Canis lupus familiaris: one gene and its partner. The protein of the gene in region 2 purifies or fractionates together with the protein of the main gene of each other region. This does not show direct contact. Links are inferred from orthologs where the notes say so. Each region holds a gene or a part of one and is shown on either strand. Other genes may lie near its edges.

The links.
Region 1: the proteins of SYTL4 (region 2) and RAB3A purify together in Homo sapiens (affinity purification with mass spectrometry; 3 studies listed by BioGRID and IntAct, counting the BioPlex papers as one, with this or other methods). This does not show direct contact. The link is inferred for Canis lupus familiaris from reciprocal best matches to the Homo sapiens genes SYTL4 and RAB3A.

Annotation. Positions count from the first base shown.
Region 1 is NC_049241.1:45,203,622-45,219,950, reverse strand, and holds RAB3A (ras-related protein Rab-3A), read right to left. Parts: upstream 14,320-16,329; 5' UTR 14,146-14,319; intron 12,966-14,145; coding exon 12,738-12,965; intron 11,870-12,737; exon of another isoform or gene 11,386-11,869; coding exon 11,267-11,385; exon of another isoform or gene 11,243-11,266; coding exon of another isoform or gene 11,198-11,242; intron 10,666-11,197; coding exon 10,541-10,665; intron 9,689-10,540; coding exon 9,498-9,688; 3' UTR 8,827-9,497; downstream 1-8,826. Other genes in the region: MPV17L2 (mpv17-like protein 2), read left to right, coding at 5,818-6,004, 6,606-6,776, 7,653-7,729, 7,842-7,970, 8,044-8,160. UniProt on the Homo sapiens protein: The small GTPases Rab are key regulators of intracellular membrane trafficking, from the formation of transport vesicles to their fusion with membranes.
Region 2 is NC_049260.1:74,960,786-74,976,467, forward strand, and holds part of SYTL4 (synaptotagmin-like protein 4), read right to left. Parts: intron 12,367-15,682; 5' UTR 12,290-12,366; intron 8,284-12,289; exon of another isoform or gene 8,181-8,283; intron 8,030-8,180; 5' UTR 7,959-8,029; coding exon 7,849-7,958; intron 7,593-7,848; coding exon 7,377-7,592; intron 7,243-7,376; coding exon 7,133-7,242; intron 6,899-7,132; coding exon 6,796-6,898; intron 1-6,795. UniProt on the Homo sapiens protein: Modulates exocytosis of dense-core granules and secretion of hormones in the pancreas and the pituitary. Interacts with vesicles containing negatively charged phospholipids in a Ca(2+)-independent manner.

The DNA of each region.
Region 1 (16,329 bases), on a different chromosome or scaffold from region 2:
TCCTCTGCCCCTCCCCCAGCTCTCTCTCTCTCTCTCTCTCTCTCAAATAAATGAATAAAATACTTTTAAAAAAAAAAGAATTCAAAAAGTCCCTTCGAATATCCCATCAGGTTTAAGCTCAAACAGTAGATTTTTCTGGCACTAATGAACTTTCTTTTTTTTAACCAAGTATACCTATTCCAAGTGATTCAGAACCCAAACCCAGACCAAAGCCTTTTATGATCTAACCAGGGACACAAGAGTTGCCCCCAAAGAGGATACAAAAAGGTGCACTCTTCCCAAGATCCAGAGCCACTCCCAAAGACAGCCAAAAGAAAGAGAGACAAAAAAAAAAAAAAAAAAAAAAAAAGAAGAGAGACATAATTCTCCTGAGACCTGACAATAACCCTAGCACAAATGGGGTGCAACCCATATTTCTGCTTGATCACCTACATATTCTCAGGGCTCCTAACCTGATGGCTGGTCCCTTGCAGCGTGCAGGCCTGATAAGACAGGCACAGCAAGCCAAACCAAGCTCTCAGCACACAAAAGAAAACATCCAGCAAAGCAACAGCTGTCTCTAGGAGGGAGGAATCTACAAATGGGTACCCCAAAACAAATATACAGCGTCACAAAGGATCTAAAGAATTAATCCTGGGGATCCCTGGGTGGCTCAGCGGTTTGGCGCCTGCTTTTGGCCCAGGGTGCGATCCTGGAGTCCTGGATCAAGTCCTGCGTCAGGCTCCCTGTGTGGAACCTGCTTCTCCCTCTGCCAGTGTCTCTGCCTCTCTCTCTCTCTCTCTCTCATGAATAAATAAAAAATATTTTAAAATCTTTAAAATAAGGACTGTCCTGTAAATGTTAAAAAATAATAATAATCCTTACAAATGCTTTTTCTCCTGCCAGTCTGGGGAACCCAGAAGGGAAGGGACAAAGAAATTTTTATCATCCTTACCATCCTCTCCCAACAGACTGAGATCCAAAAGCAATAAGGTGAGAATTCTTACCTTATCTGCTGGCTTCATGGGGCCCCAGGACCCTCAGCTGCAGGTCCCAGAGCCAACAGGTCCAGCCAATGTGAACCCATCCTCATTACCAAACAGGAGGGTTTCCAGCTGAAACTAACACCAGCTAGGTTAACAGGAGAAAAGGATATGGATTTTCTTTACACACGCATGGGAGCCCTTGTAAGAAAAAGGAAGACCCAAGAAGTAATTAGACCTCAGTGTTTATTTATTAGACTCAACAGAGGGGGACAGTGATGGAAAAGCAGCCAAAGTATATGTAGAGACTACAGAAAGATAAATTATTTTAACAAGGTCTGTTCGTACGGATTCCCTCCACCCCAACTCCCTCTCTCTGGTGATCATGGTGTTTCTTCCTCCTGGTACAGGGAGGGCACCTTCAACTTGGGAATTTTATCTCCTGCTTTCAGGAAGAAAAAAAGAAGCTCAGTATGCCCTTTATGCATCTTGCTATCTTTCAAAAAATCAGTCTGCCAGAGTGGTACATTTTTCAGTGGCATATCCTGACTTCCTTCCACAGAAATACTGCATATCACAGATCCAGACGGCAAAAGCTCTTCTTCCGGATGGAAGCCAACAACTAGAAAGCTACAGATCAAAATCACCGAATGGTCAAACCATAAAGACAAATTCCCAATCTCTGACACCACTGATGCAGGTGACATTATCCATCACAAAGGCATCAAAGCCAAAGCACCAATGTATAAAGAGGAAAACAAAATGAAAAAACAGAGAACAAACAAAATGACCTTACTTACCCCTTTTGGTCACCAGAATGTCAACCTCCATGAAATGCACTTCTCTATTGAAAGTCTACTTGACTCTGTTCTGTGAGTGATGTGATGTTTTCCCCACCTTTCAGCCACTTTGGAGGTGGTTTTCCACCAAGATGCAGGGGAATCTAGTGACTGGAATACCAGGCTGAGGTACCTGACAGAAATGGAAGTGCGAAAGGATAATTTTCTAAAAAAAAAATTGTGACTCTCCTATAGATATAAAAATGAGCACGTGTTAAAAATTATTGTTATCTCATTATTAATAAGCAGAACCAGTCAGGTGTTAAAACCATTTCTAAAAAAAAGAAAAGAAAAACATTTCTAAGAAGATCCAGCCAGGCAGGACTCAAATCAGGGATAGTAAAATAAACATGCAAATTAATGGGAAAGGAAATTGGGGAGGAAGTGTCTCTCCACCCGGCAGGGTTTATTTGCATGTCTATAAGCAAAAATTATTCTTCACCATAATCATTTATAACTACAGAGTTTATAAAATAGCTCCCGTTAAATCAAAATCAGAAATCCCTGAAGGGTGTCCTCAAAGGCAGGGTAAAATAAATTGTAACCTTTTTAAAAAAAATTTTATTTGTGGGATGCCTGGGTAGCTCAGTGGTTAACGGTCTGCCTTCAGCTCAGGTCTGATCCTGGGCTCCTGGGATTGAGTCCAGAGTCCTGCATTGGGCTCCCCACAGGGAGCCTGCTTCTCCCTCTGCCTATGTCTGCTTCTCTCTCTGTGTCTCTCATGAGTAAATAAATAAACTTTATTTAAAAAATTTTAAAAAGACTTTATTCTGGGGAACCCTGGGTGGCTCAGCGGTTTAGCGCCACCTTCAGCCCAGGTTGTGATCCTGGAGACCTGGGATTGAGTCCCATGTCGGGCTCCCTGCATGGAGCCTGCTTCTCCCTCTGCCTGTATCTCTGCCTCTCTCTCTCATGCTCTGTGTCTCTCATGAATAAATAAATAAAATCTTTAAAAAAAGATATTATTCTTCGGATTTTAAAAAAATATTTTATTTATTTATTTGACACAAAGAGAGAGAGCCAGCACAAGGGGTGTGTGTGTGTGTGTGTGTGTGTGTGTGTGTGTGTGTAAGCAGGCCATAGGTATTGGGGGAAAGCAGGGAGTCATATGCAGGATTGGATTCCAGGACCCCAGGATCTTGACCTGAGTCGAAGGCAGATGCTTAACTGAGCCACTCAGGAGCCCCTAAAATTTTACTCTTAAGTAATCTCCACACCCAACATGGGGCTTGAACTCACAACCCCAAGGTCAAGAGCCACCTGCTCCACAGACTGAGCCAGCCAGTGCCCTGATAACTTTTTTTGTTGTACAGAGGCATATAGTAAATAGTTTTAACTGTTGCAGACCATACAGTCTTTGTTGCAAATATTCATTGTAGTGAGAGTACACACTACAGAAACAAATGGGTAAGGCTCTGTTCCAATATAGCTTTATTTATGGATTCAGAAATTTTATTTTCATATAATTTTCATGTCACAGAATAGTATTCTGATTTTACCCCCAACCTTTTGTCAACTGACAAAAGGATGTAAAGACTGAAAAGGAAAAAAATGTTTCATTTGGGGTCTCAGAATTACAATTTGGGAGCACAAATTCCAGAGTAACCAGAAAAGTGTCTCCCTTGTGTAGGGAAAATAAGGGGTTTTTATGAGAAAGAAGGAAGAGGTAATTACATGACTTAGATAAAGAAAAAAAAATAAAACCTGCTAATTTGGTACTAATGTAGGAAAGATATTAGGGTTTGAAGCTGATGGCCAAGAAAGAATTCTTGAGACGTTTTTGGTGCAAAAATGTGATTTTATTAAAGCATGGGGACAGAATCCATAGGGTGAAACAGCTACACTGGGGTAGTGAGGAGTGGCCAGTTATATACTTCCAAGTTGGGAGGGGGTTAAGGGCTAGCTTAAATCTCTAAAGAATTTGAAAGCAGGGTTTCCAGGACTTTGAGGGGGCTAGCTATTGTTAGGAAAAGGCCATTTATTACTGTCTAATTAAACTTTAGTCATAAATAAATAAATAAAATAAACCTTAGTCATGAGATCTTTCAGATGTATATGGGTGGATCACATGCTTGGGGAATGATCGCCAACATGTATCTGGAGGGGTAGAGATAATGGAAGTTCCTGAAGGAATTTTTATGTTAAAGTAGACTTACAGGATCCTGGGGGGAGGGAGGGCCGGGCTACAGTCGCCTTTCGCCCTCAGCAAAGTATTATCATCGAGGCAGCTGAGTTCCTAGAGGAATGTCACCCTGCCTGTTTCAAGGACTTGTCAGTGGGCTGTAGGTAGTAAGGAAATTAAATGTTTCTTTTGCCTCTGTTTCTCACATCATTGACTACTTGAGTCACTTCTGATTATTATTTTATTGGTGCTATCAAATGAAACGGTCTCCCTGATATTTTTTTTAAGATTTTATTTATTTATTCATGAGAGACACACAGAGAGAGAGAGAGAGAGGCAGAGACACAGGCAGAGGGAGAAGCAGGCTCCATGCAGGGAGCCCGATGCGGGACTGGATCCCTGGTCTCCAGGATCACGCCCGGGGTCGAAGGTGGCGCTAAACCGCTGAGCCACCCGGGCTGCCCTCCCTGGTATTTATTAACTTTACTTTCTCCATATGATCTGAATGCCAAGTGCTTTGTTGAAATTTTATGGAGCAACTGCTTGTAAAACGCTGGGTGCCTCTGGCCCCAGTTCAAGAGTTCATCCGTTGGAAAGGAAAACGGAGCTTCCACACGGATTCTCTCACGTCCAGAAACGTGATACTCCTTAACACATTTAAAGAAATATAAGAGGGGGTCCCTGGGTGGCTCAGCGGTTGAGCGTCTGCCTTCGGCCCAAGGTGTGATCCTGGAATCCCGGGATCGAGTCCCACATCGGGCTCCCTGCATGGAGCCTGCTCCTCCCTCTGCCTTTTTCTCTCTGTGTGTCTCTCACGAATAAATAAAATCATTAAAAAAAGAAAGAAAGAAATATAAGAAACACTTTCACCTCGTGAGCCTCGCAAAAACAAAACGGGGATTTTACGGGGATTTGGACCGCGGGCCGCAGTTTGCGACACCCGGCTCCTTTGTAAGTCACGTGTAAGCCACGCATACGTTTCCATGGAAACTCGTACACCCCCCCCCCAACACAGGAGGTAAAACAGATACAGTTGTTTGTAGAGCTGCTGTGAAAGAAGTTATAGCACGTAGTGTGCCCAGAACAGAACCTAACGTTTTGTGTGTGTGTGTTAAGAATTTATTTATTCATGAGAGACAGAGACATAGAGGGAGAAGCAGGCTCCATGCAGGGAGCCCGACGTGGGACTCGATCCCGGGTCTCCAGGATCACGTCCCGGGCTGAACGCGGCGACAAACCGCTGAGCCAGCCGGGCTGCCCAGAACCTAACGTTTTAACCATTATTATTCTGGATCGGAAGTCAGGTACCCAGCTAAAGTGAGGAGCAAGGTCGACGCCTCGGTCAGGATCCTACCGGGGCGCGCGGCCCGCCCCCAACTTCCGTGAGGCTTTGCGGGATCAGACTTCCGCTGCGGGAGCCGCGGGAGCCCCCGCTCGGCTCCCTCTGGAATTCCGGGAGAAGCTGAGCGTCTAGAGGGCACCTAGGCGAAGAAGCGTGATTGGCCAGCTCCACACGGGAGGCGGGACAGCCGGCGTAAGGCTAGGCTGCGATTGGCCAGTAGAGTGTGGCGACGGCTGTCCATAGGCCAGCGCAGAAAGGGGCGGGGAAACGATGGTGGCGAGGCAGCGATAGATCTGCGGGGGCGGGGAGACGCCTGTTTGCGATTGGCCCGTAAGGTGCGGAAGGCAGGGCTTGGCTTCATTCCGCGATTGGCCCGGGATGGGATGCCGGTCTTTTACTGGTTAATACATCTCCAGCCGGCAAAGGGGGACGCCGAGCGGTCCGCGATTGACTGGTGAGGACTGGGGCCGGCGTGCCGATCACGAGGACCGCGAGCGATTGGCCCGCCCGGGAAGGGCGACCCTGGTGCCGGGGCCCGAGTTGCGGCGGGCTATGGCTTCCGGCGGCTGGCGCTGGCTGCGCGGCCTCCGGGCCGTGGGGCAGCCCCTGTTCCAAGGCCGTGCGCTGCTCGTCACCAACACGCTGGGCTGTGGTACTCTCATGGCGGCGGGGGACGGCGTGCGCCAATCCTGGGAGCTCCGCGCCCGGCCTGGCCAGAAGTTCGATCCCCGGCGCTCAGGTGAGGAGCCCTGGATTCCGGGGGACCTATGACCCCAGCTTCAGTTCCCGGCAGGACCCCTGACCTTGCGTGCATCCAAGACCCCCCAGAGCCCATGCTTAGGCCTCCGTCCCTTCTCTCCATCCCGGGGTCTCCGCCCTCGCCCCACCCGAGGTCTCGGTTGCCTCCTCCTTCCTGGTCCCTGTCTCCTCCGGACCCACTCCCACCCACCCGTCTCGTCCCCGCCCACGCCCTCGTCCGCTCCCCTCCCGCGTGCACGGAGCCCAAGCCCTGGGCACGGGAAGCCGCACCAAGGACATCAAGAGCTCAGCGTCTGGACCCAGCCACCCTGGGACTGCGCACTGGCCCCACATTTCCCAACCTGCTGTACCTGTTTCCTCCTCCAGAAAGCAGGGCAATGGTAGAACCCGCTCACAGGGTGGTGAAGGGGATGAGGACAGAGCACGAGAGAGGACCAGTGCCTGGCAATGGGGCTTGTGACGGAAGAACATACAGGCGGGCTGTGGGGCGGCTTCAAGTTCACCAGGGAGGGAAGTTAACCAGGGAAGGAATGGGTTGGGGGGAGTTGCTGGCCTCCCCCTGACTCTTGAACTGCTTTCAGCAAGCATGTTTGCAGTGGGCTGCAGCATGGGTCCCTTCCTGCACTATTGGTACCTCTGGCTGGACCACCTGCTCCCAGCATCTGGCCTCTCTGGCCTCCGGAACGTCCTCAGGAAGGTCCTCATCGACCAGCTCGTGGCCTCTCCCTTGCTAGGCATCTGGTATTTCTTGGGTAAGGAGCCTTGTGAGCTTGGGCTTTGCCTCTCCATACGTCAGGAGGGGCAGAGCCAGCTTTGTTTTAAGGAGGCTGAGATGCATTTCTGATGTGCCTCCTCTGTGTGGCTCTGGACTGGGTGCTAGGTCACAGTGGTGACAGGACAGACCCACTGGGGACAGGCATGAACAGCAGAATCAGACAATGGTGCTTTAGTGTAGGAGGGATGAAGCAGTACAGGTGGGGCTGTGGGCAGTGGTTGGGAGGGCTGCCCAGAGGAGAGGACACTCAGCTGAGACTTGAAGGAGCCAGCAGGCATGAAAAACTGCCTATGCAAAGGCCCTGTGGCTGAAGGAAGAATTGCTGAGGTTGGGGGTGACAGGGTGCAGTCATCCAGCCCTTGGCTCTGGGAAGACTGTCGCCCCCGCCCCAGGCTCAGTTTCCTCCTTTGTGAAAGACAGGGAATAAAACAGCCTCAGGAAGGGTGCATCTTCATCCTTTGGGGTGTCTGTTTTTAGAGAGAGGGAAGAGGGAGAGAAAATCCTAGGAAGGCTCCACAACCAGCGAGGAGCCCAATTCAGGCTCAATCCCAGGACCCTGAGATCATGACCTGAGCTGAAACCAAGAGTCACTTAACACTTAACCTGCTAAACCACCCAGGTGCCCCTAAGGGGATGTGTGATTACTTAGGACCTCTCCCTCACTGGAACCAACTTGTTCTGCCTTGTTTCTCCACACCAGCCACTCTGCTGTGTGTGGCCCTTCCCACCGCAAGGCTTTTAAACATCTTGGGCTATCTGCCTGGGACCCTGACCCTCAGGGTTCCTGCCCTATCTGCTCCGTCACCAGTACTCCCCAGCCTCTGATACTCTAATTTCTTTGTCTCCTTCCCAGGCATTGGCTGCCTGGAGGGCCAAACCCTGGATGAGAGCTGCCAGGAGCTGCGAGACAAGTTCTGGGAATTCTATAAGGTGGGCCGCCCACCCCCTGACTCCCTGCCCCTGACTCCCTGCCCCTGCCTCTCACAGCTGCTCCCCTCCCACAAGGGCTCCTCCCCTCACCACACTCCACCCCTCCCCGCAGGCCGACTGGTGCGTTTGGCCAGCTGCGCAGCTGGTGAACTTTCTCTTCGTGCCCACCCAATTCCGAGTCACCTACATCAACGGCCTAACCCTGGGCTGGGACACGTACCTCTCCTACCTGAAGTACCGGGTGAGCACGGTGGGCGGACCAGGCACCCAGGGGACTCCTCAGGGGCCACATGTGTAAACCCCAAATGGTACAGCTCCACTCTAGGGTGAGGTCCTCCTGGGCCTATGACAATCTGCAGACCACAGCAGGTGGGTGGGGAGCTGGTCATCGGCAGCGTGAAGACCCAGCCCCTGTCTGCTGTTTGATGTGACATCGGCCAGGTCCCTGCTGCATCTGTCCCCCAAGACTGAGTTCAACCACCAGACAGGTGGGTGAGGACCTGCCTGGTGAAGAGTTCAGAGGGGTGAATGGGGTGTGTGACCAGACCCCTCTTGCACGGACAGATCCTGGGCCCATCCACCCCTAAGCTGTGTGGCCCTGGGCACCAGGCAGACGGAGCTGCCCCAGCCCTCCTGAGTGGATGCCAGACAGGGCAAGACTGACTCTCAGCAGGCCAGGCCTGGTCCTGGCCCCTCCCCAAACCCTAGGCATCTGGCTGGGCTGCCCCTTCCAAGCCCAGTACAAGACCTGTTTCCTCATCTGGAACACAGCCATAAAGATGGTCATCCAGGAGCCCCGTCACAGCAGGCCTCCATGAACCAGTGACAGATGGCCCCATCTGCAGCACCCAGCCCGAGCCACCCAGTCCCAATCCCCCAACCCCTCAACACCACTGTGGGCTGGGCCCTGGGCCCAAGGTCAGGGACACACTCCATTTCCTTGAAGTAGGGCCCAGCCTGGAGAATCTGGAGGCTTAGGCAGGGCCAGGTGGCCTCCAGTCTCATATTCAGGTTGCAGGTTGTGGAAATTCTATTAAATTCTCTTGACATTGAATATCCTGTGGATGACCAAGGCCACCGCTAGCAGGCTGGCACTCAGGGACACAGCGTCATCCATTCGCTTTATTGGGTGTGTGTAGTGTTGTCATGACATCTCCTGGGGATCTGGGGGGCATGTTTGACACTCATGACGTCAGAACAGGCCTGGTGTTGGGGGTGTCCCAGGGTGGCGAGTACCCACAGCAGCCCTCACCTCCAAAAAAGGGTAAAACTTTGGGGGTGAGGAGCCAGGCAGGCCATTACCTGGCTCTGATCTACCCCAGGGTCCATGCTGAGACACCCCCCACCCCCACCCCCCAGTGGCCTTGGCCCACCACGGCCCAGCCAAGAGGCTGGCAGACCCGACTACCTCCCACCACCCAACAGCCTGCCCTGGGGTGTCATCGGGCCCCCTCTTCAAAACCGGTAACTGTTGATGGGGGTGACTTTTAAAAAAGGTGGGGTCTTGAGAGGAGGGTGAGCAGTGAGTTCACAGGGCCACGACACGCCACAGCAGAGTGGGGACAGGGCCGTATGTACAGGGTGGGACACGGGGTAGTTGGGGAGCCCGAGCCCCTGGGGGACATCTCCAATAAATAAATAAATAACTACGATAATAAATAAGGGTGAGGGGCTAAGTTGGGGCAGGGGTCTCACGCCCTGGGCCAGTGGGGACTGGATCAGGCCCAGGGGGTGGGCAGGGGTGGGCAGGGGTGGGGCAGGGCAGCTCTCAGCAGGCGCAGTCCTGGTGTGGAGGCGCCTGCTGGTCCGTGAGCTGTGGGCCCTGCTTGGCACCCGTGACTGCAGGGTCAGCCGTGTCCAATGACTCGGACATCTTCTCACAGATGACATCCACCAGGCGCTCAAAGGTCTGCTTGACATTAATGTTGTCCTTGGCGCTTGCCTCAAAGAACTCAAAGCCTGTGGTTGGGGAAGGAAGGGATGAGGACTCTGGTTCCCCCTCCACCCTCCTGGGGATGCTTCTCTGAGGGCAGAGAACATCTGGAGATTCCCAGTGCCAACCACGTTAACGGCACCAGAGTCCTGCAGGGAGGCGACACTGGACTAGGTCAGCCCTAGGTTGCTTGTACTCCTTCCTTCCCCCTAAAACTGTCCCCATCTCGTCTCCAGGCCCCCAGCAAGACCTCTTTCCCCACTCCCAACATCCAGCCTAACCCGCGCACTGGCCCTGGCAGTATCTGGCACATCCCCCTGTGCCCTCCCTTGCTTACACACCCTCTGGCTCCCTGTTGCCCTTGCAGGAATCCCAGATCGTCGGCATGTGGTTCAGGGTGTGCATTTCCCCCAGGTAAACCCCACATTCCAGCCATATAAAATTAATTATTTGCCAGAACACTCAGGATCTTACCTACCTCTGTCCTTTGCCTGAAGTTTGGTCTGACCACCCGTTGCTTCAGCACCAGATCCAGTGCCGTCCTCCAGGTCTTACCTACACCAGGCAGAGCTTGCCCCCCTTACACTCCCCCAGCCCAGATCTCCCCCTCTACCCCACAAAATGAGGCTTCTTGGGCTCAGCAACCCAACATGAGGCTAGCAGTGAAGATATCTGAACAAATCAGTAACTGCACCACGAACTCCTAGGCATCTGTCAAGATCTGGCTCAAGGCCATTTGCAAACAGTGTGAATTGTCTGGATTCAAATCTAGACACTGTCCTGGTTTTGCTGTGAGATCTTGGGTGTGTCCCCTCCCCTTTCAGGGCCCCAGTGTCCCTTTCTTAGGCTGCAAGTGTGCAGCCCCACTGGGCACTCACCAAGGTGGTCAGCCAACTGCCGGCCACGTTCCGACGACACCACCCGTTCATCCTCCATGTCACACTTGTTGCCCACCAGCAGCACCTGGGCATTGTCCCATGAGTAGGTCTTGATCTGGGTTGACCTGGAGGAGGCAGTGACAGGGGTGGGGTGGGGTGGGCTAGGGCTGGCAGCAACCTAGCTCCACCATCCTCTAATCTCCCCCTTGCTCACCACACTCTAGCCCCCCACCTGCAGATTATTGCTTGGATTTGGCCAGCTCGGTCCCTCCTTCCGCCCTTTGTCTTGCCAGGAACACAGACCCATGGCTCCCTGATCTTGGAAATCCCTTTCCTGTAGAATTTCCCACCCTTCCCGGATCCCTGTCCCCCGGAGGCAAGAATTTCTCCATCCTCTGCCAATTCAGAAATGTCCTTAAAGTTTATCACTACCTTGGGCAGAAATGTGTTCATATAGATCCTTCATCCTGTGCAAACCATCCTTATATTTTCTGACCCCTCCCTTATTTTTTTTTTGCCTATAAATTGACAATTTCATTTTTCCACCTGAGATGAAACCCTCTTTCCCCCTGGTTGAGCCAGTGCCACCACGTTTCAGTTATTACAGACCCGAGAGCAGGTCTGAGAGTCCGATATTGTGATTTACATTTCTGCCAGGGGAGCTGGGGCTTTGCATCAAAGCCAGCTCTGAAGATGGTCTGAGAGCCGAAGGGAAGGTGTGCTCACCAGTCCTGCACAGCGTTGAAGGATTCTTCATTGGTAATGTCATACATGAGGATAAAGCCCATGGCACCCCGGTAGTAGGCTGTGGTGATGGTCCGGTACCGCTCTTGCCCTGCTGTGTCCTGGGGAAGAAAAGACAGGGGTCAGGGGTCAGCCACCATTGGGTGGCTCAGTGGTTAAGCGTCTGCCTTTGGCTCAGGGCTTGATCCTATGGTCCAGGATCAAGTCCTGCATTGGGCTCCTTGTGGGAGCCTGTTTCTCCCTCTGCTGTCTCTGCCCCACCTCCCCATAAATAAATAAAATCTTTTTAAAAAATTTAAAAAGACAAGAGTCAGGCCCTGTACATAAGCTCCTCAGTGGAAATGAGCTCCAAGATTGTCCAGTCCAGCCTGCTTGAGGACCAGAAGGAACAGGGGGCTTGCCCAAAGGCAAAATGGGCCAGGGGAGCAAGCTGCCCACCTACACAGAGAACATTGTGCTCAATTGTCCTCCAGAGGCGGGTACCTAGAGAATCATTTCCTCACTCATTCAACGTACCTGGGCATTGACCTGTGTGTGCCACACCCTGGGCTGAGCACCAGGGACACAGATGTTAACAAAATGGACAAAAATCACTGCCTACTGATTACCCAATTCTATAGGAAACAGACAATAAACACAAAAAGGAAGAAAACGTATCCTATGTTGGAGGTGATGAAGACTGAGAGGGAAGATAAAGTCTGACAAAGATGGAAGGGCAATGTGGGTGAGGGTATGGTTTTGAGAGCTGGATGAGGTGAGGAGGGAACCATACGGGGACTGGGGGGAAGGACAATCTGGGCAAAGGACAGAGCCTGGAGCAGGGGCCCTGAAGTGGGTCTCTGTATCAGTGTGCCTGATACATCAGAGGAACAGTGAGGCAGCGGAGGTGGGAGACAAAGCAGGCGAGGTCTCCCGGGCCAGGTGGCCCATGGGAATGCAATGAACAGAGAAGGGACAGCTCTGGCTTGGGATTAAACAGGTTCCTTTGGGCCCCTGTGGGGCTAAGGGAGGTGGCCAGTAGACCCTGAGGAAGGGAGGAAGGTTGCCTGTTCCTGTCCCAGGGAATGAGGCTGGGGAGGGGGGGGCCAAGATCCGGCTGAAACATCATACAGACTCACATGAAAGAACTGAAAGATAGGGAAACTGAGGCACCAATCCCAGTGATGCTCTCAGTAATACACAGAGGAGAGGACCCAGCATTTGCTCCTTCCCCACTTCCAGAGAGAAGTGATGAGGCACCCATGGAAGGACCCAGCATTTGCTCCTTCCCCACTCCCAGAGAGCAGTGATGAGGCACCCATGGGAGGACTCTGGGCCTCTAGCTCCTAATACACAGTAGGCACCTGATAAACACCCAGTGTGTGAGTGAATCCAAACAGGAAATAGGCAAAGCTGGGGCTGCTTTTCTGGGAAGGCAAAGTGATAGGGACGGAAGCTCCCCAGCTGGACCCACCCAGATCTGCAGCTTGATCCTCTTGTCGTTGCGGTAGATGGTCTTGACCTTGAAGTCGATGCCCACAGTGCTGACAAAAGCAGGCGTGAAGGAATCGTCTGCATAGCGGAATAGGAAAGAGGTCTTGCCCACGCTGCTGTTGCCAATGATGAGGATCTTGAACATGTAGTCGAAGTTCTGGTCCGAGGACTCCTTCTGCCCATAGCGCGAGTCTGTGGCGGACGCCATCTGGGTGTGCAGGGTGTAGGTGAGCCTGAAGAGTCCCCTTTCGCACCCAGCTGCCCAGGCTCCAGGCAGAGGATACAGAGAATTCCAGAGCTCTTGAGAAGGACTAGTGTTTATAGATTACTCTTATCTCATCAGGAGCCCCTGTACTAACGGTAGGGCCCACGGCAAAGGGCGGGCTGTGACCTTGAAAGGCCAAAAGTGTCAAGGGAGCAGCTCAGAAAGATGGACATGGGGACACCCCTTGGGCCCCCTCCAACATGCCTTCGCCCTAGGTCGGGCTGTAATCCTAAACCCTAAGCTGAGCGGGCAGGGCTGACTGCAGCCGGCCCCGCCCCCCATCAATCATTCATGTGTCTCAGAAGGGTGCCGCGCGGGCGCACGTGCACACGCGTGTACGACCCCGCGGGGATGTGCGTCGCAGCACCCCCTTCCCCCAGGCTCCCAAGCTAGGAGGGATCGGGCTGAGACAGCTGGTCATGTGATAAGGGCGGGGCGTGCACCTGCTCACGTGCACGCAGCAGGGAACACACCCGTACACGCGTGTGCACACGAGAGTCGAATACATTCGGTGCACAGGAAACGAGACGTAGACACTTGTCCGCACACCAACACACATTTACACACATGCCAACCCACCCGTGCGCAGGGTGCCCTCCACCCATGCAGGCGTGTACACGTCACCCACGCGGACACGCAGTCCCGTGCACGTATGCACACGACGTGCAGGCACACGCACAGTCCATGCGTCTCCTTTCACATGCGTGCAGCACGCACTCACCGGGGCCGGGACACCCGCAGGGTCACCCGAGCATACCCCGGTACATAAGCAAAAGGGTTTGCACACAGACCCGCTGGCACCGGCGGGCGCGCACACGCGTGTTCACACCGCACGCACGCACGCGCACGCACGCACAGAGCCTCCCGCGCGCACAGCTTCCCGCAAGGCACTCGCCTCCCCTCCCCCTCCGCCGCAGAGGCCGGGGGTGGGGGGTGGGGGTGAGGGTGAGGACCCGGCAGGTAGGGGGAGCCAGGGCCCTACCCCGACAAGGGCTGTGACCGCCGCATCCTTCCCCCCCATTCAGCGCGGCCAATCTCTCCCCTACCCCGGCAATCCCATCAGTCAAATGAAGGTTATGTAGGTATCCGGAGAGGCGGCGAACCAGGCCGCCCGGGAACTCACCTTGCCCTGCACCGATGCGGTGGTGACCCTAGCGGCGGCGACTCTTCGGCGGCGGTGGTGACGGGGCCCCCTGCGTTGATGTGGGGCTGCGCGACAGGGGCAGCGGCGGCAGCAGCAGCGGCTCAGGCCCCTGCAGTCCGCGGTGACGTCCTGCAAAGAGTGAGGCGGGGCCTCACATGCAGATGCAGCCGTGACGCCATCCTGGGGCGGAGCCGCGCCTGGAGCAACAGCCCACTGACGCACGCAGAGCCAGGAGGGGCGGGGCCCCCGCGCAGATTGACGCACGAGTGGGGCGGGAATCAGTGTGCTCACCCAGTAGCACGCGGGGGAGGTGCCTACTTGCTCCGCCTCCTGCCTGCGTCAAGGAGGCGGGACTGAATGGCGCCCTCTCACTGGCTTAGGGCCCCCGAGCGACGGACTGATCAGCCAATCAGAGCCTATCACTGTTCTCCTCCTGTCCAATGGTGGCTCCCAGGTGGTTGCAGGGCTGGGAGGTTGAGGCCTTCGCAGAGCCTGGGTCTTCAGGGGGCGTTCCCCTTCCTCGCCCCCTCCCACCTTTAGTCTGAGATTTTCGCGGCCCCCGCCGGGTCTTGGGTGTCGCGACCTCTGGTTAAAAACACTATTCCCAATTTTAGAAGAGGAACAGACATCTGAGAGACGCTCAGTGCCCCCCAATCACGGGTTCAAAATAAGTACAAATGAAGAAAAAGCCAAAATAGGGGTGAAGGGAGACCCCTCCCAATTTCTGGAAAGTGTAAGATCCCCAAAGAGGACCGGGTGGGTAGATGCCCGGTCCTGTTTGCTGAGATGAAAAAGAAGAAAGAGGATCTAGGGATCGAGGGAACTATTTTCTAGAAAAGAAGGAAGGGGCTGACACAAGAACCCCTCCTCTACCTGCGCCCCCCCCCCTTTCCGGAGAAAAATTCGAAAATAATGCTGAAGTGGGGCAGAGAAATGGCTTCCCCCCCTAAGTCCCCCCACAAACCTGCAGGAAACAACAACAACGGGGAACAGGGAGGGTCTCAGCGAGGTTCAAAGACCCAACAAGACGTCTCTCCAAGACGGGGCTGGGAGATGCTTTACCGACCCTGGTTCCTGACTGAGGCAGGGGACCGATCCCCTCCATCCTGGGGAAACAAGACTCTGCGAGTGCAGACTTTGGGGGCTGCGGTGCTCAGTCGTTTACTCTCCCAAATCTTGAGGGAGAAATGTCAGAATTGGGGGGTCGTGCGGGAGAATGAGCCCCTATGCCCCATTGGGATCCCTGCCCCTCAACTCCGCTCCCCAGACCCGGCAGGAGGAGCGTGGCCCCAAGAGAATTCTGATCTTGCTCCCTCCCCAGGCGCGGGGCGGCGGGGGTGGGGGGCGGAGGGGTGCGTCCTGTTTATAAAAAGCTCGCCAGCTGCGGAGGCGCCTAGAGACCAGAATAACTTAGCGCCTGGAGCCCGCCCCCCGCCCCCCCCCCCCCCCCCCCCGCCCCCTGGAAGAGCCGGACGTCCCTTGCGTTGAGAAATCTATTTTTTATTAAGGGTAGGATTTTTGTTCCTCTCCTCCACTCGGACTATAAGAGTATTATGAACCTACTGCGGAGAATTGGAAAATTGAGAAAAACATAAAAAAATAAATAAATAAAAATAAATTCATCTCCAACCTCCCCCCTGCAGGGAGGCTGGCAGTCGGTGGGGGCCCCCAGCACGGCTGGCCCGGAACCGGCCCACACACACCCTGGTGGAGGTGAGGACCTGTAAGGCTTCCCAAAAGCATGCTTTGGGCTTTGGACGTGCATGGCACTGAGAAATACCTGTTGTCATTTTTTGTTTTGTTTTTCCAAAGGAGGGAAGCCCCCCCCCCCCAACAATGTGCATCAGCTACTGCACAGAGGAATTTGTATTTCAAAGTAAAAATAGGGAGGCCTGGGTGGCTCAGTGTTGAGCATCACTTTGGCTCAAGGCGTGATGCCGGGGTCCTGGATGGAGTCCCCAGTCAGCTCCTTGGAGGGTGCTTCTCCCTCTGCCTATGTCTCTGCCTCTCTTTCTGTGTCTCTCATAGATAAATAAATAAAATCTTTTTTAAAAATAAATAAAATAAAGCAAAAATAATGCAAGGCCTTTATTGTTGAGAATCAATATTCTGGGACCCCTGGGTGGCTCAGCCGTTTATTGCCTGCCTTCGGCCCAGGGTGTC
Region 2 (15,682 bases):
CTGAGAGATAGCTCTATAGTTCAAAGCGCAGCAGGTAAGTTGATTTCATTTTTACTTTAGAATCATTCTTTTTCTCCCTTTGCTCCAAAGAATAAAGAATCCAAAGCAGAACCATTCCTCTAGAGAAGTAGTTTAACAATAACCCACGGAGTGTGTTTTCTGCTTGTATTTTTTCCTAATGATTAATACGTACTAATCCAAAGCTGATACAAATAACCCTAGGGCAAAAAGGCAATTATTGGCATCTGTGCAGTAAAAAATAGACTAAGAGATGAGAATCCTGGGCTCTAACTATCTGTATGATCTCAGGTAAATTATCTTGCTTTCTTTTCTGTAAAAATAAGAGGAATGAATTTGATTACCTCTGAGACTCCATAATTTTATGGCAAAGATAATTTATGGCCACTTAATCTGCTTCCATGTTTAGGATAAATAAGTCTTCTGGATCCAATGAGAAAAGAGGTCATAGACAGCCAGAAGCAGTAGGTCTCAGAAATTACATTCTGACCGATGATGTCAGATGTGTTAATCAGATTCAGAAAATAAAAGTTGTTTTTATCCTTATCCACCAAGGAAAAAGGGGGCCTCATCGCCTAGAACAGATGAGTCACCCACCCAATGCTGTGTGGATTAAATCATAGTACATACATACCATGAAACACCATACATATGGCAAAAAGAATGATAGACCCTTAGTGCAGACATGGAGAGGTGCCGATGTTTTATTTTTCTACAATTGTTCCTTTTACACCTTGAGTTATAACTGACATAAGTAACACATGGTTAAGTGTGTGATTTGATGAATTTTAACATGTACATACACTTGTGAAACCATCACCGCAATTAAGTTAGTGAATACTCCTATCACTCTCAACAGCTTCCACTCACTCCTTCATAATCCATTCATCCCTGCTTACCTCTGTTCCCAGACAGAAAGTGCTGATCTGCATCTGCCACTACTCTTTGGTTTGCATTTTCTAGAACTTTATATAAACAGAATCATACAGTATGCCCTCTCTTTTGTTTGGCTTCTTTCACTCAGCATGATTATTTTGAGATTCACCCATATTATTGCTCGTATCAATAATTCATTCCTTTCCATCACTGAGTAGTATTCCACTGTATAAACAAACCACAATTTATCCCTTTACCTGTTTATAGACATTTGAGCTGTTTCCAGGTTTTGGCTATTGCAAACAAAGCTGCTATGAACATCCATGTACAAGTCTTTGCACGGACACATGCTTTTGCTTCTCTTGAGTAAATACTGAGGAATGGAATGGGTGAAACACAAGGTAAAGGATATTTAACTAAACTCCTATTAGACTGGTTTTCAAAGAGGCTGCACTGCTGCACATTCCCACCATCAGTGTAGGAGAATTCCAGTTGCTCTACATCCTCACCAATAATTGGTATGGTTAGTTCTTAAATTTTAGCCATTCTAATGGTTATACAGTAGCATTTTATTATGATTTTTTTCATATTTCCCTAATAACTAAAGGTGTTGAGAGCATCTTTTTATGTGCTTATTCAATACCTATATCTTGCCTTTGGCAAAGTGTCTGTTCAAATATTTTGCCAAGTTTCTACTGGATTATCTATACTATTGAGTTTTTAAAATTCTCTCTCTTTCAGTTTTTACCATTTACTATGTATGTAGTATGACAGTTTTTTTTAAAAGAAATTAAAAATGTAAGAATCCAATCCGTATTTGTACATTTAGATAGTCTGGTAGTCCATCACCAAAACTAGTAATGCCCATTAACAATAATAGTCTGGGGCAGAAGCAGTGAGGTTACTGGGGACTCATTTTACATATTTCTAATAGTGCTTTTCAACAATCATACAAAACGTGATTAAGTCATTTCCCTTTGGCTCAGGGAAATTTAGGGGAAAAACACAAGTAAAAAGCCAAAAAAAAAAAAAAAAAAACCACCAGCAGCTACCAAATAAGGAGTAAAGGCTCCTGTCATAAAGTTCAAAAAGTCATGGCTAAGAAGACAGAAGAATGATTTAGCTCAGCAAAATTCCATCCAATACAGAGATGTACAGATGAAGTGAGTGAGTAGGCAGTCCTGGAATAAGACAAGGAAAACAAAAGTTCTCAAGATTTGTAGTCCCAGGTATCAACAGATGCAGACAAGACTGCTGGGGTATGTCATCTCTCAGTGCACTGCTAGGAGTTAGATGATGTATCCAAAGCTGGACCATGTGAGCCTGGACATTTAAGAGAATTTCAGCAGGCCAAACCCCAAGACCCCCAAGTTGCCTTTTGCTTTCCCCTTAGGTTCCAATAAAAGAAGTATATAGAAAGCAATATTTTATGCTTGAAGTACAGTTGGGGGTATGGAAGAGATAAATTGTTTCAGGTTGAGGTGAGAAGGAGGTGTCAAGGAGAATTCACACACTATATCAGAGCAAATAAAAGATATAGGCAGAAGAACTTCCTAGCTTCAACATGAGTAAAATGAGAAGAAATGGTCTGGCAGATAAATCTATAAATTGCCATGGGGTGGAGAAATAGAAACAACTTGCAAGATGGTCAAAGAACTATTCTGGAGAAGAGTATAACCCTCAGAAAATAGATTGCTTGTGAGTGCTTTATACTATATAGAAACTCAATAAGAATATATATTTGATAAAGCATAAGAGTGCAAACAGGAAAGATGGAAAAACAACAAAATTGGGGTAAAAGGAAGATTGAGAACAAAGAATAAATTAAAACCTAATCAAGATAATTCACTTTTTTAGGTATTTATTTGAGAGATAGAGAGAAAAAAAGAGAGACAGAGAGAAAGAGAGAGAGAGAGAGAGAGAGAGAGAGAGGCACATGAGGTAGGGAAGAGCAGAGGGGGAAGAGCACTGAGCACAGAGCCCAATGCAGGGCTTGACCTCAGGACCCTGAGATCATGAGCCTGAGATCATGATCTGAGCTGAAATCGAGAGTCTGACATTTAACCGACTGAGCCACCCAGGTATCCCAAGATAATTCATTCTAAAAGTACATTAGATATAGCAAGAGGAAAGGGGAAAAGGGGAGGAAAGAAAATGGCTGAAAATCAAAGCATAGAGGAAAAGTTTGGGTTAATCACAGTTAATTGCTTTTACCTTTCTTTTCTCTTGCATTTGATACTAAAAGAAAAGGAGGATAAATAAATAAGAAATCCAACGTGCCTAGGGTGGGAAACTTAACTAATAAAACAGAAAAAAATCTCAGAGGATATGACATAGAAAAATTTTCCAGGGGCACCTGGGTGGTTCAGTGGTTGAGCGTCTGCCTTTGGCTCAAGTCATGATCCTGGAATCCTGGGATCGAGTCCCACCTCAGGCTCCTGCAGGGAGCCTGCTTCTCCATCTGCCTATGTCTCTGCCTCTCTCTCTGTGTGTGTCTCTCATGAATAAATAAATAAGATCCTTAAACAAAAGAAAAAGGCAATTTTAAAAAATGTCCTGATTTTATGGTCCTGCCCCTACATTGTTCAGAATCAGTAAAATTCTTGCTCTCATTTGATAGAAGCTGTCTTTGGTAAAAGGGATTCTTTAGACAGGTCACTAGGAGCATCTTGCCCTTCCTCTCAATAAGCATATTTTCTACTTAATAAAAAAAGCTTGTAGTTTAAAAGCATCTCCAGTTATAGCCAGGCAAAAACATGAAAGGAAGAGCTACTTACATGAATATATGAGATTTCATATCTCTTAATTGCTACACAAGTTTTACAGACTTGAAAAGGGCTAGTTTGACAGCCTCGGAGCAAAAGCCCTAGCTTATTAATAGTTGTAACCTTAACCTATTGAAAAACAATATGAGGCCAGAAAAGAGAGCAACTCAGGGGTTTCTCAGGAATGAGAGTGTAAGAGGTCGAGAGTGAAAAACATTGTGTAGCAGGTAAGGCAATTACCTCTGTCAAGGGGAGAGCAAAGTATCCCTTTTTTTCTTCTTATTCCCTCCCCCAAAGCTGGTAGAAATTGTCCTTACATCATCAATAAGAGAGGCTTGGTGATTAGAGCAGAAATATTCTCATCCAGCCCAACCACCACTTCCTCTTTCCAGAATTTCTTGGGGAAAATTATAATGATTGATTTGTATGCATAGGAGGTGGCCACTCTCAGATGACAATTAAGGAAGGTTTGAGAATGTACTAGAGAATGTCTGAACAGTAACAGGGACATTTCTAGCAGTAGCAGAAACAGAGAAGGCTGGCTGGTGTATGGATGAATGCCAACCAGCAGAAGCCAAGGGGCCCAGCGCAAGGTTGAGCATCTATCTGCCATCAGCTCAGGGTGTGATCCCGGGATCAAGTCCCATAACGGGCTCCCTGCAGAAAGCCTGATTCTCCCTCTATCTATATTTCTGCCTCTCTCTGTGTCTCTCATGAATAAACAAAACCTTAAAAAAAAGAAAAATATTCCAGCAATGAACAAAGAACTCATCAAGGGTACATATTAGGAGGATACAGAATGATCACCATTGAGACATGTGTGTACATACACACATACACACAGTAAGTTACCTACAAGGGAGAAAAACAGAAGGCTTGCTGACCTCAGACTTTATCACAGTCACACTCAATAGTAGAAGACAATGGAATAATGTCTACAAATTATAAGGGAAAAAAAGTGTGACTCAAGAATACAATATCCAGCCAAGATACCATTCAAGTATTAAGTCAGTAGGTAGGCATTCTTAACATGAAAGAGTAAAATAAATATTGCTTCTGCAAGCCCTTCTTGAAGGAACTTCTCAGTGATAAAATCCAAACAACCAAAAAAAAAAAATGAAAGGAAAAATTCAGAAATACAGAGAAGCCATGGTACAAGGTTATAAGTATACTCCTCCCATCCAAGTACTAACCATTTGCTTCAACGTGGATGGAACTGGAGGGTATTATGCTGAGTGAAGTAAGTCAGTTGGAGAAGGACAAACATTATATGTTCTCATTCATTTGGGGAATATAAATAATAGTGAAAGGGAATATAAGGGAAGGGAGAAGAAATGTGTGGGAAATATCAGAAAGGGAGACAGAATGTAAAGACTGCTAACTCTGGGAAACGAACTAGGGGTGGTAGAAGGGGAGGAGGGCGGGGGGTGGGAGTGAATGGGTGACGGGCACTGGGGGTTATTCTGTATGTTAGTAAATTGAACACCAATAAAAATTTTTTTAAAAAAGTATACTCCTGTTAAATATGAACAAAAACTAAACAGATAAAACAGGCAGATGGTTTATGGTTGCAGAACAGAATGTAAATGTTAGAAGTGCTGTCAAAGTAAAAGTAATTTGAGTATAAAAAATGAGAGTAGGGTAAAGTATTTGGAGAAAGTATAAGAAAGCTAATCTCTTTTTAAAATTTTATTTATTTATTTGAGAGAGAGAGAGCATAAGCACGAGCAGGGGAGAGGAGGCAGAGAGAGAGGAGAAGCAGACTCCCTGCTGAGCAGGAGGCCCAATGGGGGCTTGATCCCAGGACCCTGAGATCATGATCTGGGCCGAAGGCAGCCACTTAACCGACTGAGCCACCCAGGTGCCCCTAATTTCCTTCTCTTTCATAGCAGAGAGTACAGTGATAATATTGAAACAGGTAGATTTTTTTAAAATGACTAAGTGACTGACCCAGCACTCCACTCTTAGGTATCTACCTAAAAGGAATGAAAATGTATGTCCATACAAAAACTCATAATGAAAGTTCATAGCTGCATTACTTATAATAACCAAATAGTAAAAACAATCCAAATGTCCATCAACAGATGAACGTATAAATTAAATGCGGTATATACATACAATAGAACATTCGAATATATAATCAAATATTGTTTGGCAATAAATAGAAATTAGGTCCTGATACATGCTATAACATGGATGAATCTTGAATACATTACATTAAGTGAGAAAAGACAGTCACAAAGGATCACATATTCTTTTATTCCATTTAAATGAGATGTCCAGAATAGGCAAATATATATATAGAGAAAGTAGACCAGTGATTGCTTAGGGGTGGGAAAGGATAAGGAAGTTGGGAGTTTTAGCTAAAAGAGTATAGAGTTTCTTATTAAGGTGATGAAAAGTTCTAAAATCAGTTAAGGCGATGGTTGCACAATTCTGTGAACACTAAAAACCACTGCATTATACATTATAAATGGGTGAATTGTATGGTATGTGAATTCTATCTCAATAAAACTGTTACCTAAAAGACACTAGGAAAAAAATGACTACTCAATAGATTTTATGATTTTTTTTCTTAAACTTAGAGGGATGTTAAAGATTAGTATCTTTTATGGTAAAGAAACATTTATCTGAAGATGAGCAATTCTTCAATTTTATTTCTTCTGTTTTATTCTGTTAAAGTCAAGTAAAATTAAATAGCATGCTTTTAATGTATATATTATGATCCAATATTATACAGGTTTTTCAGTCTATCCACCCACCCATCCTTCTACCTACATATATAGACAAGTGATACCTTAAATAATTTTCACATATGAGTACTGTGGGTATTAGGAATTTGGGTGATTCGTTGCTTTCTTTATTGTTTCCTGTACAGGTTAAATTTTTAATCATGAGTATGTGTTATTTTTATTCATCTTTAAATTGGTCTTAAAAAGAAGAGAGTAAATATTCCAAAATGTTAATGTTAACATGTGAGTGGTAGCAATAGATTTTTCCCCTCTTTCTTTATTCTTTTCTATACTTTCCAAATTTTCCTGTCATAAACAGCTCTTCTTTGATAAATAGAACAAAGTTTAAAATAATAGAATTCAAAGGATGTGTAGCATCTCTGTAAATGATTGCTAGTTCTTACCTGGGCTCCTTCTGTTGCTCCTGAACGATCCTTCTTCCTGGCCAGATATCATCCATCTGTGACTGATGAAGAAGGGACTGTCCCACTGTCTCTCTTTTATTCACTTCGAGGTAAACAAAAGCATGGCAGAGTGGTGGTAATGAGAGGAGGGGGACGGAAACACATCCCACTTGCAGAAGGGATGGCAATATAATCTTTATATTCCCCACAGAGCCCATGAAGTAAAGACACCACTAGTAAGAATATATAATAGGATTCCAAGCCAAGGGATCTTTCACTGACGTCAAGTACCTCAAAAACAAAACAAAACAAAACCATTTCCAGACAGGGCCAGTACCTGCAGGTTTGCGGCGCAGGGACATCCTAATTATCTCACTGCCTGTGTGGTAAGCAAAGCGATTCACTTTCTGATCATAAAACCAATCTCCAGTTGCCTTCTTCAGCTCTCTGAGAAGGAATAAAGGAAAGTGACAAGTGAATTTTTTTTAAAATGGCTCTTGCCACTCAACTAACAAAGGCCGAGGAGGGAAATTCTCCCCACAGCCAGGGCCTCCTTGCCTCTCTCCACAGGTGATACTCACATCTCCTTGGTGCACACCTTACACCTCCAGGTACCACTGCTTTCCTGGATGCGGCAGTCCCGACACACCAGGTGATTACAACCCCGACAAGTGTTGGTCTTGGGAGTCAAACGGCCCAGGCTCTCCTGGCACCGGGCACAGGTCCGATCGCTATAGTATTGGCTGCCCCTCTTGGCCCCTTTCCTTTTGATCTCCAGTAGCTCATTCTTCAGTCGCCTGCCAATCCCCAAAGAGAAGCACAAGTGCGTTCACAGTCTGCATAGGTTGCATGGAGAGTTGTTGAGGGGTAGACAGTAAGACTTTGGTTTGGTAATTAAAATTTGGTTCTACAGAAGTAACAACTTCAGAGCCCAAGGGAGGAATTGTATACTGATACATAAGTTCTTCTGAAAGTCACATGGGAGGTATAAGGAAAGGTCCAGATAAAATTGGTCAAAGGTCTGGGCACCCATGCTTTTTCTGGAATGCTTACCTAATCCTTTTCTCATCTGCTTTCCGGAGCTCCTCATCTCGTTGTAGAACACTGAGGATCAAATCCCTCTCCATCTCAGACAGAAAAGAGAGGTCAAGTATCTCTGACATGATTTATTCTATATTTTTATTCTACTCTTCTTTCTTCAAATCAATCAGACCAGGAAAGCCACCACAGTTGCCTGAAATAAGATAAGGACTATTTTTCACACAGATAATTTACTCCAGAGTAGTCCCACAGCCCTAGAACCTCTTAGTAGGCTACTTTCCCCTTAAGCCAGGACAAAAAGACAATGTAGAAATATCTGACCTATTTACCATTCCTACTCCCACCTGAATCCTGCCCTTGAAAGTGAGGCAGCTCTGGATTTTCAAGAAGGATAACTTATTCATGACTCTGGAAAAAGGCTGAGTCTTTCAGCATGAGCACATTAGTCTGGAATAAGCACAGAACAGTTGAGTTGAACTCTCCCTACAGCAAGTGAATCCTAGATCATCCAATTTTCAATACTTTACATTTTCCCAAGTCCCAAATCTATTAAACCAAATAATCAGACAGCTGGTCTCTGTAGTAGAGAAGAAAACCACATGGGGACTTCTGCCAGTTGAAGCCCATTTTTCCTTTCCTGACCAGCTTCTGTGTTCTCAGGACTCAGATAGCTTTATGCTATACTCTAAAAGTTCCATCACCTACTCTATCTCCCAAAGTTCTTATTGCTACCACTACCTGAAGAATATCTTCACCCATTTCATGCGCATTTGTTAAGCACTCACTCTGACGTGCATTGTGCAAAGTGCTAGGGATACAGTGATGACTAAGACACAATTCCTGTCCTTAAGTTCACAGACTAGTAGGGGACACAGATACGCATAAATATAGTACAATGCACTAAGCGCTATCAGATGGATAATAAATTAAATGCTATGGGAACCTAAAGAAGGAAGCAACTAATTCTATCTTGCATAGAGAGAGAAGAGAATGACCTGTATACATGGAAGGTTTCACAGAAGAGGTGAATTTTTCCTTATAAAGCAGCATATTTTTGTTGGTGGGAGGAAATGGTAGGAAAGATAGGTTTGGGCTAAATTTTATAACTCTCATTCTTTTTTAAAAGTTTTATTTATTTACTTATTTGAGAGAGAGAGAAAGAATGAGCAGGGAGAGAGGCAGGAAAAGACACAGAGGGAGAGGGAGAGGGGAGAAGCAGACTCCCTGCTAAGCAGGGAGCCTCAATGTAGGGCATGATCCCAGGACTCTGAGCCAAAGGCAGAGGCTTAACTGACTGAGCCACCAGCCACCCCTATAACTTGCATTCTTGAAAATTAAGAATTTTTGCATTTATTACATAGACAATAGAAGTCCATCAAACATGTTTGTTGTTGCTTTGTTTTTGATGTTGGGAAATTAAATGATTAAATCCATTTTACTCTAGCTTTAGTACAAAAGAACTGATTCAAAAGACAAACTGAAGTGCAATCTGGAAGTACATAACACACTGTAAAATATGTGCATTCCTTACCCAAGCAATACCACTTCTAAGAATCTACCTATAGAAATATTCATACAAATGTGCATAGAACAATATATATACAAGAATGTTACTGTAACTTTGTAAGAACAAAACAAAGAAGTTCTTTAAAAAAAATACTTCCATATAATGGCATACCATGCAACCATTAAGAAATGTGGTAGATCTGTTTGAAAATGCATCTTGGAGTAGAAAAAATAAGTAGTTGCCAGACTATACTGAATGATTTGTTTGGTAAAGTATTTACCTATACATTTGTATATGCAGAGAAAAAAGTCTGGAACAAAAACCACGATCATTGGTTTCTCTTGTGGAGGATTGGGAGGGGCAACTTTCACTTTTTTTACTGTATATAGTTATGATTTTTTTACGTAAAGAAGTCTTACTTTTAAGTCCTAAAAAAGAAATTTCAGAGGAGACAGGGGATTATTGTAATAGTCCAGACAAAAGAAAATCTAGGTTTACCAAGTGCACCTCTACCCAACTTGGCAAATCATTTTATTTGTCACCCTTTAGTTTCTCATGTGCAAAATGATATATTTCACAAAGTTATCAAGAAAGTGAAATACTGTATGTTACAGGGCCAATCACAATGTTTGAAATCCATGTTTAACAATACACATACTTGCTGAATCTGCTACAGGGCAGGCGTAACCCAGGGCAGCAAGACAAAGAGCAGAGAATCAAGTTTGAGAAGCAGAAGTAACAGAATGGAGTGACTAAGAGGATGAAGAAGGCACAAAGATGCCTTACCTTACCTGTCTTGGTTTAACAACTGATAGATTAGTGATAATTCTAACAGTGAGAAGAGTTATAAGAGAAGAAACAGGTATGGAAGTAAAGCAAGAAGTTTCATTTTAGTCATATTGAGTTTGTGCTACATACAGGATATCCAGGTAATTAGGCTCAGAAAGTAGTTGGAGGCACAGGGCTGGTCCTCAGGAAGAGTGACTGTATCTGAAAGTACAGATTTGGTAGTCATGGCAGTCAAAGTGCTCAGGGTAGACAAAGCTGAAAGGAAATGATGATCATCTTTACCTTTTCTGCTCTCCCTTAAAACTAAACCATGAGCCCTTTTCCACTTTTTTTTTCCAATTACCTACAGGACAATAAAGACTATAAACAACTCAGCATAGTTATAAGGTTCCATCAACAGTTTCTTGACTTGGCTATTTCCTGGTCTTTATTGAACTGTAAGACACTAAGTTTCCTTCATGGACCCTTTCTTAGATAATCTTGAAAAAGAATTCTTAGTTTTCAAACCAAGGAGAATATTACACTCTCTGAGAACAAGGGCTTTTTCAATATTCTTCTTTGTATCTGTCCCAGCACCTAACATGATATTGTGAAAAAGGTGTTGCACCTGCTGCCACTACTGCTGATCATCACCCCATCAGTTCCATTTATTGAGAATTGACAATAATGGCAGGCAATGCAGTACTTTATATATATTAATTTAATCCTCACCACAACCCTAAGAACGCAGCAGTATTATTATCCCTATTTTATAGATGAGGATCCAGGAAAGGTTAGGTTAACTTGCCCAGTAGTAAACAAAGTAAGTAAAGTTGCTGGGATTCAAGCCCAGGCAATCTGATTCTAGAGCTAGCACTCTACAGGCTCTGTCCAGGCAGGATCATGGCCAAAACTATTGTAAAATGTTTATCAGAGCAATCAAAAGCATTGTGCAAATGGATTCTCCTCTATGTGATTATGAATGGAGCACTGGCTAAAATATCAGCTGCTCGTGAATAAAATAGGTATCTACCAATTGCCTAGCAGCTAAAGACCAAGGATGGCTGGCACAGGTACACTGGGAATGATAAGTGATAAAACAGGCACACTGACACAATAATGAGACCAAGTAATATTAAGACCGACAGATGTAAGAACATCATTGAGGAAATAAATACAGCACCATAAGAAAATGGAACTGCTAATGTTGTATATCTTCTCTTTGTTTTTCACTTATGGACCAGATCAACCAGAACTGCCTCCTCCTAAAATCTTAAATTCAGTAATCCCCATTTTTCTGACCATAGCTCATTCCCACTAGACCTGTTCTTCAACCACTTCAAGACCACAGTCTCTCTCGTGGGACGCCTGGGTGGCTCAGTGGTTGAGCATCTGCCTTCAGCTCAAGGCATGATCCCAGAGTCCCAGGATCGAGTCCCACATCGGGCTCCCCGCAGGGAGCCTGCTTCTCCCTCTGCCTGTGTCTCTGCCTCTCTCTGTGTATCTCTCATGAATAAATAAATAAAATCTTTAAAAAAGACCACAGTCTCTTAAGTCCATCTTTCATTTTCTCTTGGTCTCCTTGCCTCCTGCTGATCTGTTTTCCTTTCCAACCCAAACTGGACTCCAAATGACTCAATGTTTGAACCTATACCCAAGACCTACACAATTCTTGGTCTCCAACCTCAGTTCTTAGTTCAGGTTTTCACCTAGTTTTGCTTTACCTAGTTTTGCTTCAGGTTCTATTTTTAAGCCTTCATTAGTCTCATCTCATACTCCCACTTCCCTTTCCTCCAGTTCCTATCAGACATCCTTGTTTCACATTTGTAAAGAAAAAGGATTTAGAATCCACCACCTATGACATCCTCAGCCACCTGCCTCCTCTCCCCCATAACTTGCCAATATAACTCCTTTCAGAAAAGCCATCTCACCCCAACCCCACCTCTGACCATGGGTAGTTTCAAACCCTAACCCTGTCACCAGTCAGTTAGCTTGAGATACAATCTTGCATAATCAGTAGTGGGGAGAAGAAAACAGGATAAGAAAAAAAATTTTTGAAGCAAGGACAAAAAGGAAAGCATAGGAAGAAAATGAGACAAATAGCAAAAAGAAGATGGTAAAAACAAGCTCCAATGTTATTAGTGAACGTTAAAAAAAACATATATGAGCAAAACTCACCCATTAAAATGCAGAGGTTAACAGACTGGATAACATTTTTAAAAATCCAGCTAAGTGCCATTTTACAAGGGACACATCTAAAACATAAAGATGAGGAAAGATTGAAAATAAGATGGAAAAAGATATACCAGGTAAATGCCAACCCAAAGAAAGGTGATGTAGCTACATTAACATCTAAAAAATAAAACTTCAAGATAATAAAAGCATTATAACACATAAAGAAAATCAGTACATAGAGTAAATAAGCCTGTATGCCCTAATTTAACACTTCCAAATATATAAAGGAAGATTAAGTATACCAAAGAAGAATTAAAAATTCAACCATCAAAATGAAAGATTAACATACCTCTTTCAGTTATTGACAGAACAGGCAGATAAAAAATTAATAAATATATAGACAAGTTCAACAACAAAATAAGCTTGATTTAGTGGACATATATAGAAATCTATATCCAACTGGAAAATTACATTCTTTTCAAGTACAAATGGAACATCTACCTCAAAAATTATCATGTACTAAGTTATAATATAAGTCTCAGTAAATTTCAGAGAAACCATTCTCATACAGATCAGGGTCTCTGACTTCAATGGAATTAAATATGAGGTCAATAACAAAAGATCATTTCTAATCCCAAAACATTATGGAAATTTAAAGACATTTCTAAGTAACTCATAGGTCAAACAAAAATTAGAACTGTAGGGGATCCCTGGGTGGCTCAGTGGTTTAGCGCCTGTCTTTGGCCCAGGGCGCAATCCTGGAGTCTCGGGATCGAGTCCTGCGTGGGGCTCCCTGCGTGGAGCCTGCTTCTCCCTCTGCCTGTGTCTCTGCCTCTCCCTCTCTAGGTCTACCATGAATAACTAAATAAAATCTTTCAAAAAAATAGAACTGTACCAAATCTATCATTAATATCTTAATAGAAGAAAACCTGCTGGCTGTTTTACCACCACTGTCACTCCCATACTGTAGAATGTCTTCTAGAAATTCAAAAAGGAAAATGTGGAATAAAAGTAATACTTTTTATGCAAATAGTTTTATGGTAGGTGATACAACACATCTTGAAAAACATAACTTAGAAAAATAATGGATGCACAGGTAAAACCAGACAGGTTTGAAGTTAGGAAACCTGTGACCTTTCATATTCTCCCAACTGATGAATACTATGGTTTAGTGGAGAAACCAAACCCCAAAATTACTTGTTAACACTTTTCACTGAAATTCAGTCCCAGATGTGTTGTCAAAAGAGCAAGGATTATCTATTGAGAAACCAAACCCCAAAATTACTTGTTAACACTATTCACTGAAATTCAGTCCCAGATGTGTTGTCAAAAGAGCAAGGATTATCTATTGAGAAAACCACAGCTCAGGTAACATGAGTGTTCATGTCCAAACTCTGATGGACAATTTGTTCCATGTTAATTGTGGGGTGTCAAGACTCAGATTAAATATCTTAATATGGCACCCTTGTGGGACCTCATACCCATGGGAAGTTATTTTAGAAAGGATGGTTTGTTGACTTGGAAAATTATATACACTTACCACTCAAAATTCAGGATATTTTAACCCAAATACAAAAGCCAGGGGAAGCTGAAAATCTATCAAAATGGAAGGTTAACATACTCTCTCAATTACAGATCCAAGTAGATATAGCTAATTATACCCTAAACCTAGAGATTAGAAGATAATAATAATTAATAAGTGAACATTAATACTAACAGCTAGTTTTCAAGAAGTGGTGGCGAGACTGCTCTCGAGTTATTTTAAATTCTGAAGATGAGGTATAAAAACAAAAAACTGGGTCAACTGGTAGGAAGCATAGAATGAACATAATGGTGTAAGACAGACTTAGATTCAAATCTTAGCTTTGCTACTTATTAGGTATATGACCTTGGACAAGGGCCCAAAATATGAAAAGGATGATTAAAAATGTAGAAATCCTTATAAAAATAGTATTTACATTAAAAATAATTGTTTGTGCTCCCAAAGTTGAAACTGTGTTTACTTTGTTGGGCACCTTGGTACTTCTCTCTCTCCTAAATACATACTGCATGTTCAAACTAGAAACTTATACCATATGCAATCTCCTTGGGGGCAGGCACTGTATCTGGACTTCATATCCTCAGGAACTTATTTAGCACAGTGTCTGATACACAATATAAGTTCAATAAATGTTTACTGAATGTCTTCACCCAGAAATATATTTATGTGTTTAAACTTAACTCACAGAAATTGAAGAGCAGTAATAGAGCTGAGAGAAAAGTGGTTTTTGTTTTCCTGAAGCAGGATGGTGTCATGGTTAAGAGTACAGACTCTGGAGCCAGACTGCTTACATTTGAATTTCAACCTCACTATTCAATAGTTGTGTGACCCTGGGCAAGTTACTATACTTCTCACTGCTTCAATTTCCTCATTTGTAAAATGAAGATAATTACCTACCCTTTGGGGCTTGTTATAAAGATTAAATTAGTTTTTAAAATATGTAAAGTGCTTGAAGTAGTGTTCAAGAACATTGATAACAACAACAACAAAAAAGAATGTTGATAACAGAGGGATCCCTGGGTGGCTCAGTGGTTTAGCGCCTGCCTTTGGCCCAGGGCATGATCCTGGGACATCAGGATCGAGTCCCTCATCAGACTCCCTGCGTGGAGCCTGCTTCTCCCTCTGCCTGTGTTTCTGCCTCTCTCTCTCTCTCATGAATAAATAAATAAAATCTTTTAAAAAAAGAATGTTGATAACAGAGAATGTTATCTGTTACTTTATTTTGTCAGGTTTATATGTGTACTCATGCTTTAAGACTGAACTGGGGGACATCTGGGTGGCTCAGTGGTTGAGCACCTGCCTTCAGCCCAGGGCATGATCCTGGGGTCCCAGGATTGAGCCCCACATCAGGCTCCCTGCATGGAGCCTGCTTCTCTCTCTGCCTATGTCTCTGCCTATGTCTCTGCCTCTCTCTCTCTCTCTCTCTCTCGACTAAATAAATAAAATCTTTAAAAAAAAGACTTAACTGGGACTTGAAAAATGGCATTTACTTTCTTTTAAAGAATATAGACAAATCGTGAGTTAAAGTGCATCTAGACACCATTTAAAGTTTCATTGTTCTTAGAAGTGAGAAACTATGCTGACAATATTCAAGTGACAGAATTTCAGAAAAACTGATCCATGTTCAAGGACAAAAAGACTGAACTGGTACTAATGTGTTCCTATAAACCTACAAGTAGTATTTATGTGATGGTCTTGCATATAAATTCTATTGGATTATTGGTTATGTCCCATCAAAGTGATATGTTAAGAGCATTTTGCTGTTTGGACCAAGGAAAATGGACAATTTTGGTAAAATTTATACTTAACTGAACATGAAAAAGTGAACCAGAGTCTTTCAAAGTATATTAGTTTAA